Arabidopsis thaliana: one gene and its partners. The protein of the gene in region 1 interacts with the protein of each later gene in a pairwise test. Each region holds a gene or a part of one and is shown in the gene's direction. Other genes may lie near its edges.

What was found.
Region 2: the proteins of UBQ1 (region 1) and CHIP interact in a two-hybrid assay, tested with the Arabidopsis thaliana proteins (one study listed by BioGRID).
Region 3: the proteins of UBQ1 (region 1) and IRT1 interact in binary tests that used the Arabidopsis thaliana proteins (3 or more experiments, as listed by UniProt).

What each region holds. Positions count from the first base shown.
Region 1 is NC_003074.8:19,503,743-19,507,441, forward strand, and holds UBQ1 (ubiquitin extension protein 1), read left to right. Parts: upstream 1-1,636; 5' UTR 1,637-1,925; coding exon 1,926-2,028; intron 2,029-2,115; coding exon 2,116-2,202; intron 2,203-2,287; coding exon 2,288-2,390; intron 2,391-2,587; exon of another isoform or gene 2,588-2,629; intron 2,630-2,769; coding exon 2,770-2,836; intron 2,837-2,912; coding exon 2,913-2,939; 3' UTR 2,940-3,190; downstream 3,191-3,699. Other genes in the region: AT3G52580 (Ribosomal protein S11 family protein), read left to right, coding at 53-98, 495-580, 677-806, 892-959; CWINV2 (cell wall invertase 2), read right to left, coding at 3,338-3,532, 3,617-3,699.
Region 2 is NC_003074.8:2,357,397-2,362,199, reverse strand, and holds CHIP (carboxyl terminus of HSC70-interacting protein), read left to right. Parts: upstream 1-1,650; 5' UTR 1,651-1,898; coding exon 1,899-2,003; intron 2,004-2,308; coding exon 2,309-2,376; intron 2,377-2,485; coding exon 2,486-2,549; intron 2,550-2,705; coding exon 2,706-2,777; intron 2,778-3,079; coding exon 3,080-3,213; intron 3,214-3,303; coding exon 3,304-3,457; intron 3,458-3,542; coding exon 3,543-3,653; intron 3,654-3,748; coding exon 3,749-3,877; 3' UTR 3,878-4,293; downstream 4,294-4,803. Other genes in the region: AT3G07380 (glycosyltransferase family protein (DUF23)), read left to right, coding at 186-358, 741-876. UniProt on the Arabidopsis thaliana protein: Has E3 ubiquitin-protein ligase activity and may target misfolded substrates towards proteasomal degradation. Regulates the activity of some serine/threonine-protein phosphatases by E3 ubiquitin-protein ligase activity.
Region 3 is NC_003075.7:10,705,664-10,709,521, forward strand, and holds IRT1 (iron-regulated transporter 1), read left to right. Parts: upstream 1-1,680; 5' UTR 1,681-1,823; coding exon 1,824-2,411; coding exon of another isoform or gene 2,412-2,459; exon of another isoform or gene 2,460-2,496; intron 2,497-2,506; coding exon 2,507-2,656; intron 2,657-2,754; coding exon 2,755-3,060; 3' UTR 3,061-3,352; downstream 3,353-3,858. UniProt on the Arabidopsis thaliana protein: High-affinity iron transporter that plays a key role in the uptake of iron from the rhizosphere across the plasma membrane in the root epidermal layer. Acts as the principal regulator of iron homeostasis in planta.

The sequences.
Region 1 (3,699 bases):
CAAAGTTAGATTTTTATGTACATTTCTGAACTTCTTATATCTGCAATTGCAGCACGTGACTGATTTGTCTGGACGGGAAACACTTGTTCGCATCACTGGTAATCATCTCTTTCAACTCTCACTCTCTAATCCTTTGGTGATGATCCCTTTGTTAACTTGTATGCGGTAGTCTCTGTTGAGTGTGAAATGAAGTTCTTGACTGCCTAAAGGTTCTGCTTAGTATCTGCTCTTTTAAGTTTTTTCGAGGAATCCGTTGATATCTTTATAGAAATTGCTTTGTTCTTGACGGCATCAATGTTCCTGCTTATAGAACTAAGTTAGTTACCATTGTTATTAGTATTATGGTCTTCTCTATAGGGTGTGAGCTGAAGTGTCTTTAGTCTTTGTTCGTTTAACTTTTGAGGAATTCCTTTTGTTTATCTGTTTGGAAATTGCATTGTTCTTAAATAACAATGGGTTGCTAAAATTGCTGTTTCGATTTCCTACTTCTGTAGGTGGAATGAAGGTGAAAGCCGACAGAGATGAGTCCTCACCTTATGCTGCTATGCTTGCGGCACAAGATGTTGCTCAGCGATGCAAGGTAAAGGCAAAGAAATTGCATTACCAAGCAGACAACTTGATAATCTTTTATGTTTCTATATTTAATCGATTTGGTGAATATATTTATGCAACACAGGAACTTGGAATCACTGCCATACATGTGAAACTCCGTGCCACTGGTGGTAACAAGACCAAGACCCCTGGACCTGGTGCTCAGTCTGCTCTAAGAGCCCTTGCCCGTTCTGGCATGAAAATTGGTCGCATTGGTAAAACAGCAGCAATCTTCAACTGTAATTGTTTAATTGCATCTTTGATTGAATAAATCTCTGACATTGTTCTTGTTTTCCTCAGAGGATGTGACTCCAATCCCAACCGACAGTACCCGCAGAAAGGGTGGAAGAAGAGGAAGGAGGCTCTGAGTTATTTGGCCTCTCGTTGGATCTCCTTATGTAGCTTTCTCAATGTTTCATTTTGTTTTTTCTTAGTTTGAAAAGAGTTTTGGAATTACTATGCTTTGTTATAGTCTCAACTCTGAACAGCTTTGGATCTTTTTCTGTATGACCATAAGATATTCAAAAATTGGTAGTCATTTTATCTCACAAAAAAACCTTGAATTTGTGCTGTATGATTTTGTAAAGTCTTAGGTGCCAAATCTTTGATTGGAGTTGATAAAATATTTTTATTTGGTTGTAATTTTGTAATATCCCGGGATATTTCACAAATTGAACATAGACTACAGAATTTTAGAAAACAAACTTTCTCTCTCTTATCTCACCTTTATCTTTTAGAGAGAAAAAGTTCGATTTCCGGTTGACCGGAATGTATCTTTGTTTTTTTTGTTTTGTAACATATTTCGTTTTCCGATTTAGATCGGATCTCCTTTTCCGTTTTGTCGGACCTTCTTCCGGTTTATCCGGATCTAATAATATCCATCTTAGACTTAGCTAAGTTTGGATCTGTTTTTTGGTTAGCTCTTGTCAATCGCCTCATCATCAGCAAGAAGGTGAAATTTTTGACAAATAAATCTTAGAATCATGTAGTGTCTTTGGACCTTGGGAATGATAGAAACGATTTGTTATAGCTACTCTATGTATCAGACCCTGACCAAGATCCAACAATCTCATAGGTTTTGTGCATATGAAACCTTCGACTAACGAGAAGTGGTCTTTTAATGAGAGAGATATCTAAAATGTTATCTTAAAAGCCCACTCAAATCTCAAGGCATAAGGTAGAAATGCAAATTTGGAAAGTGGGCTGGGCCTTTTGTGGTAAAGGCCTGTAACCTAGCCCAATATTAGCAAAACCCTAGACGCGTACATTGACATATATAAACCCGCCTCCTCCTTGTTTAGGGTTTCTACGTGAGAGAAGACGAAACACAAAAGATGCAGATCTTCGTGAAAACCTTGACCGGCAAGACCATCACTCTCGAGGTCGAGAGCAGCGACACCATCGACAATGTCAAGGCCAAGATCCAAGACAAAGAAGGTATCATTCTTCCTCACTCAATCTGGATTCTTCTCTTTAGCTTTTTGAAATTCAGATCTCTTATCATTTACTTGTTTCTCCTTTAAGGAATCCCTCCGGATCAGCAGAGATTGATCTTCGCCGGAAAGCAGCTCGAAGATGGCCGTACTTTGGCTGACTACAACATCCAGAAAGGTACGAAATCATCCGAATCCTTCTGTTGATCATTTCGATGATCTGATTGTATAAACTCTAATGGATTGTTATCATTTGTAAACAGAATCTACACTTCATCTTGTGTTGAGGCTTAGAGGAGGTATTATTGAGCCTTCCTTGATGATGCTTGCTCGTAAGTACAATCAGGATAAGATGATTTGCCGCAAGTAAGTTTCAATTTCTCCCTAAGATTGTAGTTTTGTTGATTAATAGTTCAAAGTACCAAATGTTTATTAGTGTGTTAGGGTTTTAGTTGTTTTAATGGGAATTAACTTAGCTTCTCAAGCCTTATACAATGCGTGTTGAGGTTATAAATGTTCCCAATATCAAACATTTCCATTCTCTAAACTTTGTCAGCTGGTCAAATTTCTCATCTTTCCAGATGATTTTCTTGAATGGTACATTTTTGCAAATGGTTTTGAAAATGTGTTGAAGCTTGTATTTTTGATTGCTGAAACATCTTGTTTGTTGGATAGTTTGTCATCTATGGTCCGATCTGATGTCTCAATGAGATTATTCTAATGTAAATTTCGCATCTTTTGGTAGGTGCTATGCTCGTCTTCACCCAAGAGCTGTCAACTGCAGGAAGAAGAAGTGTGGTCACAGCAACCAGGTTTGTTTTTGTTACTTGTTTCTTTTTGGTGTTTATCAGCTGAAATGATATCTGAACAAACTTTTTTTATTTGCAGTTGAGGCCTAAGAAGAAGATCAAGTAGAGAGACTCTTATCAAGAATCCCATCTCTTGCTTGCTTTTTTTTGTTGTCTTCCCTTTGATAGGGTTTGTTTTTCTTGTTTCAGTGACTTTCTATGTTAAAAGATAATGTCAGTAAAAGGATTTGGTTTTCTATTATTCTGAATCGATTACGGAAGATTCTTGCTTAATTCCAATCTATACAAGTATCGTGAAATAATGACCGTTTATGTGATTAGGAGACGTGTTTCATTAATAAAATATAAGATCAATACATTGTTAGTAGTGATAAACTATGTACAAATTGTATTGATTGTAAAAGAAACACAATAGGTTCCTTTTTTCTACAATATATTGTGACAGACTCTCTGTTTTAACGAATGAATTAAATTTGTCAACGAAAAAATTAAAGAATGATGTGATCACTTTGCACCTTGGTTCATCTTCAGAGGCTTCTGCATGTTCCATGCATTGAGGCTCTCTACGGTCACAGGTTGTGAGCCGTTGTTAAAGACAAACAAATGAGCTTTTTCTCCTACTGCTTTTGTCGGATACACTCTAGATGTTATCACTGTCTTTCCTTTTGCTCCAAAGCTCTCCACAACCGAGTGATCAATCTGCAAATTCACTCAATTATGTTACCTATTTGCTTCTCTATACAAGAGTAATATTCAGTAAAATGATTTAAGTTTGTGACGTACCAAACTCCTTAGAGAGATCTTTCCGTCAAGGAGACCGACATCCACAAAACCAGCAAACGATGGTTTGTACATCCTCTCCTTGG
Region 2 (4,803 bases), about 17 Mb from region 1:
TGCAACTTATCCTGCAAGATATTTTCGAATATTTTTGAAAATATTAGATCCAACAACCCTAGCCTCCTTCATCACTATAAATATCAAAGTCATTCTCATCACAAACCAAATTGAGATCAAGAACGATTCGATGGTTATTATCATAATCAATTCATGATAGTGAATGATTGTTTGCATAAGTATTCATGACGAAGTGGATGTTCTTCGTTGATGTTGATGAGTTTTTACATGTTCCGGTGAAAGAGACGATTTCGTCTGTGATGGAATCTTTGGAGGAATATTTTCAGTTTACTATTGAACTGATGCCTATGAGTAGTCAGGTTTGTTATTCCGGTGATGGCCCGGCCAGAACTTACAGGTAACATTCATAACTTTGTTGATTTTAATGATTGAACGTTAACCAAAGCCCATGTGTTGTTTATTGAGTGACTTAGAATATTAGTCACAAGTTTTTTGAAGGTGACATATAATATCAATAAGCATCTGATTCTGTCAACACTTGGCCTGTAAAAGTCTTTGTGCATTCTGTATTAGTCTCCTATGTCGGTCACGATCTTTGCTTTTATTGAACATCACATGATATTAGTGAGAAATGTTGTAAAGATTATTTCTTTTGTTTGTACCAAATATTGAATTGTAATTGGTTTGTATATTTTCTGTTTTTAGGAGGGAACATATCGGTTATTGATTTGGTTTAGTTCAGGGACTAATCTAAATGGTATTTTGGTTTTGTGTTTCAGAAAATGGGGAATTGAGAAACTGGCATATAGAGACGTCAAGAAGGTTCCAAGACGGGATCGGAAATACGCGGTCCAGCCGGAGAATGTATTCGCGATAGGCGTACACATGTCTCAGAATCTACAAGGGAAGACATAGCACAAGGCTGAGAGCAAAATCCGTTACTTCCATTACCATGGTTCGATCTCTCAGCGCCGCGAGCACGCACTCCTTATGTGCTAGACACTACAATCCGTGATGTTGGCCTTGCTGTGAGAACGTTCGAGTTGAGAACGATTGGTGATCGGCTGCTACGGACAAGACAATGAAGAGATGAAAAACATGAATAGTGAATCTAATCAATCTTTAGAAAGAAGAATTAGGTGTTAAGATGATTTACTTTGCATTGTTTTCTTTTGGGGGTATATTCTTTTATTGTATCATATAATTTGGGTAATGGGATCATTAATACAGCTTCAAAATACTCTTTAGTATAAATATTCTGTATGATTTAGAAAAAAGGTCTCCTCATAAATGTTATTATCTTTGTTTTGCCAAAAATAAAAGATAAAACATACCAACTTTGGTTTTTAAAGATCTTATAATCAACAAAATAATTACACCATCTATCATTATATTATATTTTTGTCACCATTTTACTTATATCAAATACACATTTAGTAATTGATACACAACTTTAAACACAATAAAATACATGATTCTAATCAGTAAATAGTCTCCATACTAATAAAAGATTCCAATCATTATTTATACCAGTTTTAAAAAAACTAAATATATGTTACTATTTTTTAATATAACACACACTAATTTATTTAATAAAAAATTTATAAAAGCCTTCGCGCGACGGGAAACCGCGGGTTTAATCCTAGTTGTATAAATAATTTACAATTAACCCAATGACCGGTTTATGGTAGTAAACAAAAAGAATGACTATAAGATCCGGATTATGATCCAAGTCTCATCGAGCTGACCCGGTAAAGAGACTAATCTCTTTCGATAACCGATTCATTTAAAATTCCCTTTTGCTTACTTTTCTCTCTCCTTTCATCGAGAAATTTCGCGGCTACTTCTCTTCTGAAACGCACCGGGACGCGCCGTCGCACAAGTTACAGAGGAGTGTTGGAAAGGATAAAGACTTGGTTTTCTGGGGTGCCGTAGATATGGTTACAGGCGTGGCTTCCGCCATGGCGGAGCGGTTAAAGGAAGACGGAAACAATTGCTTTAAGAAAGAACGTTTTGGTGCTGCCATTGATGCTTATACCGAGGTACATGGTTCTCACTCTCCTTCTCTCAATTTCATCGTTAGGGTTTTGTGTTTTCCGAGATTTTGATTGAGATCTGCGTAGAGTAATAAACCCTTGATTATAATTTCGAAATTGGACAATTCGTTTGTGAATCAGAACTTAATTGCATCCAAATTAGGTTTTGATGGAGTGTACAATTCGAGAATAGACATTTGATGGAATTTATGAATCTTTTATGTGCTCATCGTTATAAGTCATCAAGAAACTTCAGGCTTATTCAATTGTAGTGGTTTTTCTTATCATTTTTTTTTTGTGTAATTGAGTAGGCAATAGCTTTGTCTCCAAATGTTCCTGCTTATTGGACCAATCGAGCACTTTGCCACATGAAGCGAAAGTGAGTATTGTTCTGTCAAGCAAATTTTATACATACTTCTGATTAGGCAATCCTAATGCCCAAATACTTTATGGTTCATGTTTGGCTTCTTTGCTTGCATCAAATTTAGGGATTGGACTAAGGTTGAAGAGGATTGTCGCAAAGCTATTCAGCTTGTCCACAATTCCGTCAAGGTTTGACTCTTTTGATTATATCTAAATGGAATTCTTTTGCTTGGTGTGCTATGTATGGAATATGTCAAGTTTTTTGTTTTGTTTTATCTTTTCTTGGCCTTCTTTGATCCTTTCTTCTCCATCATATGAGGATTTTACAATTATGTTCTGTGGCAGGCACACTACATGCTAGGACTTGCATTATTGCAGAAGAAAGAATTTACTAATGGAGTCAAAGAATTGCAAAGGGTAAGGATCTTTGTTAGTCCTAAGCTTTTTTCTGTAAAATTTATCAGTGGACATGATTGTTTAAGTCGTAACGTTGAGACCTAAGTAGTGTAGTTTCCAAGCATCTTAATGAAGATGTGAGGCACCACTTGAATCTCCATCTTTTTCCTTTTGAAAGATGTCTAAGTGGATACTGTGGACACTTGTTTTAGTTAGAAAAATCACTAGAGATGGGTTGGTTTGTTTATGCCATCAAATACTGCAAACAAATTTTGGTTTGATACCTGTTTCCTGTTAACTTCATGTAGCTACGTTTCATATAGGCTTTAGATCTTGGAAGATGCTCGAATCCAACAGGATATATGGTAGAAGAAATATGGGAAGAGCTTTCTAAAGCAAAATACATGGAGTGGGAACTGGTTTCTGCAATGCGGTCATGGGAACTGAATAGTTTGAAGTAGGTTCTGTAACTTTCTTAATCCAGTGCTATCATTCGACTTGGAACTGTGCTTTTGTGGCTTTATGGAACTATTCATGTTTGTGTTAGGGAAACTTGTGAGGCTGCTCTTAATCAACAACGTGCTTTAGATATGTCTCGAACAGAAGAGTCCTCAGACGAAGCATATACTGCCCATACTGAGCGTTTGAAAGCTCTTGAACGAGTGTTTAAGAAAGCTGCAGAAGAAGATAAACCAACTGAGGTGCATTAAATTTTCTTTAAAAGCTTTTAAGACCCATCGTTCATTTATATTTGAGGTCAAATACATTTCTGGTTTTTCTTTTCAGGTGCCAGATTATTTATGTTGCAATATAACTCTTGAGATTTTCCGAGATCCTGTAATTTCTCCAAGTGGGGTTACATATGAAAGAGCAGCAATCCTTGAACATCTCAAGAAGGTTTGCATTATCATCGCTCTTTTCTTGTAGCCTTAATCTCTATAAAAAATATTCCTCATTCCTGTTAAGGTTTGATCGTTTACACCACTTGATAGGTGGGGAAGTTTGATCCTATAACTCGTGAAAAAATCGACCCGGCTAATCTCGTTCCAAATCTGGCTATCAAAGAGGCAGTGGCAGCATATCTAGAAAAACACGTCTGGGCTTACAAGATGGGTTGTTGATCGAAATGGGGATTAACATAAACACAATGAAGCGGATGAGAAATTGAGGTTAACTACTCAGGTGACCGAACAAAACAGATGGGTGCGTTTACCTTTTTTCACATTTGTGTTTGTTGTTGCCGATGTTTTCAGTGTAAGATTCTCTGCCCTGTGTATATATTACAATGTTTTTTTGTGCACTCTGTACACATTGGCCATATGGCTTAGCCTATATAACACACATACAGAATTTATTTACTATTGAGGAAAGCCCAATAACATACATACAGATATTGTTTATCATTGAGAAAAGCCCAATAACAGACAGATTTAGATGCAGTTCTCTGACGTCAACAAGATTGATGAATTGTATCTCATTAGGATGTAGTCCAAGGCATGCTTAAGTATTTTTTGAAACCTTCTTGGACCACTCCGGTTCTGTGCCATGAAAAAAATCTGGATTGTGTGATTAATCATCTAAAATAAAACTGAAAGCCTGAAAATTCAATATAAAAACAAAAAGTTGTCATGCAATAGTGTAGAAAAACAATGATTTAGTTGAATGTTCATCAAAGTTGAAAGAAAGCAAAAGACATGGGCCATCATAAGGTATTCAAAGTATTGAATGAATTCTGCCTAATAAGGCGTAAATCTTGGGGTCTTTTAAATAGAAATAAAACTACTATTTTCTTTATCTATATGATTTCCACTGGGGACACATAAAAGGTAAACCCACCATTGTGGTTGTGGATTATTACGATTCTTTTTCTTCCTTTATGGGATTTATTTCTTTTTTTGTATCCAATGAATTGTAAACGTTACTTCTTGGGGATAAAAAGTTAAAAAGAAAGCATCAAATTCTTTCTTTTCTTGGCTTTTCTGTGAAAGTTTGGTGAGGAATAACACCAAAGAGTGGTTTAGGACGAATCCATATTCTATCCTCTCTA
Region 3 (3,858 bases), on another chromosome or scaffold:
ACAATTAAGCGAAATCACACATTGACACAAATTAAAAAATATTTCTTTTCTCGACCGAAAAAAGAAAATTATTTCACCAATATGGAAAATCTCCCCAAGTTCATTCTATTTTCTGTATCAAAGTTAACGAATAGACATATAAGCATTTTGTCACGTCGGTGGAGTATGAGTTTGGCACGTTTTGTTTCGTGCTCGTCCAACCATATGAAAACGTGGGAGGTAAACCACTCAACTAATAATATTATACCTTTAAAAAAACTATATTATAAATCCAGTTTGATGCTTATTTTATTAATCATTCTTCAAAGAAATAAAACTTAAATAGTGAAAATTATAACCGAAGTTGACTAGTTAGGAGGCATGCCATGGAATATTGGATACATACTCGGCATGGACAGTATTGAATATACAGGATAATGTAGATAACTATATTTTCTATAATTTATTTTGTGTCAACTATTTTTTCTATGATTCTGATGATTAATTGCATGACAATCAATCAAATTAATTATGCCTTCTTCTATATAACCATGCAAAACCAAAAAAAAAAAGATTATTTCGAAACGACATGAGAATCAAAAGAACTCATAAATCCTAATAGACATGAAATTATGTATACAGTTATAACATTGAAATATCTTAATACCTTACCTAAAAGATAACTAGATTAATAACCATAAAACCAATAATCATTAAGTCAATAACCCCATAATCTTATAAATGAAGTCAGTGACTATATGTTCATGTAAAAATGCGTAAGTTCATAGCTAGATGTCCCTTTTTTAGGAGCACATGGATTGACACATTAAACATTCATACCCGATTTCATGGAATTCTATTTGTCATTATCCTTTCCCAAAAACTTAGTTGTTTCTTAGTTATTAAACCTTGAAAAAAAATCAATTCAAAAATGAAAAATGACTTATATGTATGTCATTTTTGAAAACTAGACATCAAGCTATGAAAAGAGGAATCTATTTACCGAATAAAGGAGGAGGAATCTACATTCATATGTAGTGTTTTTGGTGACTGGATTGCAACCATACACTGAGCACAAGCTGTCACGTGTGATGTTGTGCTCGTAGCATAAACTATAAAGTATAAACCTAATTAAGCTTAAAGTTAAAAATAGTACAAGATTAAAAAGTAAACGTTTGTGAGAGTTGACTAACAGAACTATAGAAGACGCATGGGGTTGACTTCAAGCGGTCTGCAAACGGCATGAACAATGCATTCAAACGATAATATAAACCTTAATTCCAATATAGCCTTTTTCAAATTTAAAAACTCGAATGTTTACGAAACTATAACTTGATAAAACTGATTGAAATAAAATGTACTTACATTTTTTTAATAAAATATACTTAAATTTTTTAAATAAAATATACTTTAAAATATACTTAATTTTTTAAAATCATACTATGGATTTTAAACAAAATAAATTGTCACTGAGTCATATTTCTTTGGATAAAAGAACTTTACATAAGTGATTGGTACAATATAATAATATGCAAATTTAAGACATTTTATTAAGTTTATATTATCGTTTAAATGCATTTTCTATCAACTTAATAAAATCTAGCTAGGTACTTTCATAATTCTATCATTATTCCTTTTGAACGATTAATTACTTTATTTTCTCGTTTCACACTGGAAGCAAACGAGTAATCAAATAAAATTTCGTCATCATCGACAATAAATGGCATGAAAACAACCAGCACACATTACTATATAAACCGATTCATCTAGTAAGTCCAAAGTCACACAAACATTAAACAATCTAAACACACAACAATCCAAAAGAAAAAAGAAAAAAAAAAAAAATGGCTTCAAATTCAGCACTTCTCATGAAAACAATCTTCCTCGTACTCATTTTTGTCTCTTTTGCAATCTCTCCAGCAACTTCAACTGCGCCGGAAGAATGTGGAAGCGAGTCAGCGAACCCGTGCGTCAACAAAGCTAAAGCTTTGCCTCTCAAAGTCATAGCAATCTTCGTAATCCTCATTGCAAGCATGATTGGTGTTGGAGCTCCTCTCTTTAGCCGTAACGTTTCGTTCCTCCAACCAGACGGAAACATCTTCACTATCATTAAGTGTTTCGCCTCCGGGATCATCCTTGGAACCGGTTTTATGCACGTTTTACCTGATTCTTTCGAAATGTTGTCATCTATATGTCTTGAAGAGAACCCGTGGCATAAATTTCCTTTCTCCGGATTTCTCGCTATGTTATCGGGTCTAATCACTCTAGCCATTGACTCCATGGCCACGAGCCTATACACCAGCAAGAACGCAGTTGGTATCATGCCCCATGGTCATGGTCATGGTCACGGCCCCGCAAATGATGTTACCTTACCAATAAAAGAAGATGATTCGTCAAATGCACAGCTCTTGCGATACCGAGTCATTGCCATGGTTCGTACGCACATATATACATACCGAATATCATTGTATTTTAAATGACATATTACCGAATACATAGGTATATCTAACTTTCTACGGATATATAGGTCTTGGAACTTGGGATCATAGTTCACTCGGTGGTCATTGGATTATCTCTAGGAGCAACTAGTGACACTTGCACCATTAAAGGACTTATAGCAGCTCTTTGCTTCCATCAAATGTTCGAAGGCATGGGTCTTGGCGGTTGTATCCTCCAGGTAAATATACTTTAGATAAAAGAAAAAAAATTATCTTTAGCCAAATGTTGAAATTGTATATACAAATATGAAACATCTAATGTTTAAGATAATTTCAGGCTGAGTATACAAATATGAAGAAATTTGTTATGGCGTTCTTTTTCGCGGTAACAACACCATTCGGAATAGCGTTAGGGATCGCTCTATCAACTGTTTACCAAGATAATAGCCCAAAAGCTTTGATCACGGTTGGACTTCTAAATGCATGCTCCGCTGGATTGCTCATTTACATGGCACTCGTGGATCTTCTAGCTGCGGAGTTCATGGGACCTAAGCTTCAAGGTAGCATCAAAATGCAGTTCAAGTGTTTAATCGCGGCTCTTCTCGGGTGCGGTGGAATGTCGATTATCGCCAAATGGGCTTAACTAATACTCCAGATATTGCGGAATTGAAATCATGTGGATTTCATTATCGAACTAAAACCGTTTTAGGTTTACGTCTCGATTCTCTATCGGTTTTTTATCTTCTCTTACAAAAGATTTGCGTGGATCTATCACATTTTAAGGAACATGTCTTTTGGTAGATATGTAAATGTGATAGGCCCCACGATTCATAGTTTTCTTTTGTATCTTCCTTTATTTTGTCAAGGCAGTATAGTTCATATCGTGTAATGTTTTTGCATCTCATATAAATAAATAAAACTTTTGCTGCTTTTTCAAGATAAGTAAATTAAAGAAAAATATATATTATTTTACTTTGTAATCTATATTCGACAAATCTAAATACCAATAATTGGAACTTTAATCACAATCACGTAGTCTATAAATATACTTACTAGCTTGGCAATATTGTCAATCACTTGCATATCGTCCCATACTGCTTTAAATCTCAAATTTATTTTTGAGTATTACTAGGCATTGATATCCTTGTAGTTGATTTAAGTATATAATTTAAACAAGTTCTCTAACCGGGTTCTGTTGATAAAATCAATATGTCTACCAATTGAACCAATACCAATAAATTTTAGTCTTCGCTTGAAACTAAAGTCAAAGTTCGAACAAACAAAATCAGATACATAGTCGAAGTTTATAAACTTTATATGCAGATTCAGTCGATTTCCAAAAGCGCTGGTTTTACTTGGAAAATGTATATCTATCGACCCATTTATGAAGGCTCACTTGATTTGGGTACGGGCATTACTTTCAGCCCAATTATGTGTCCTT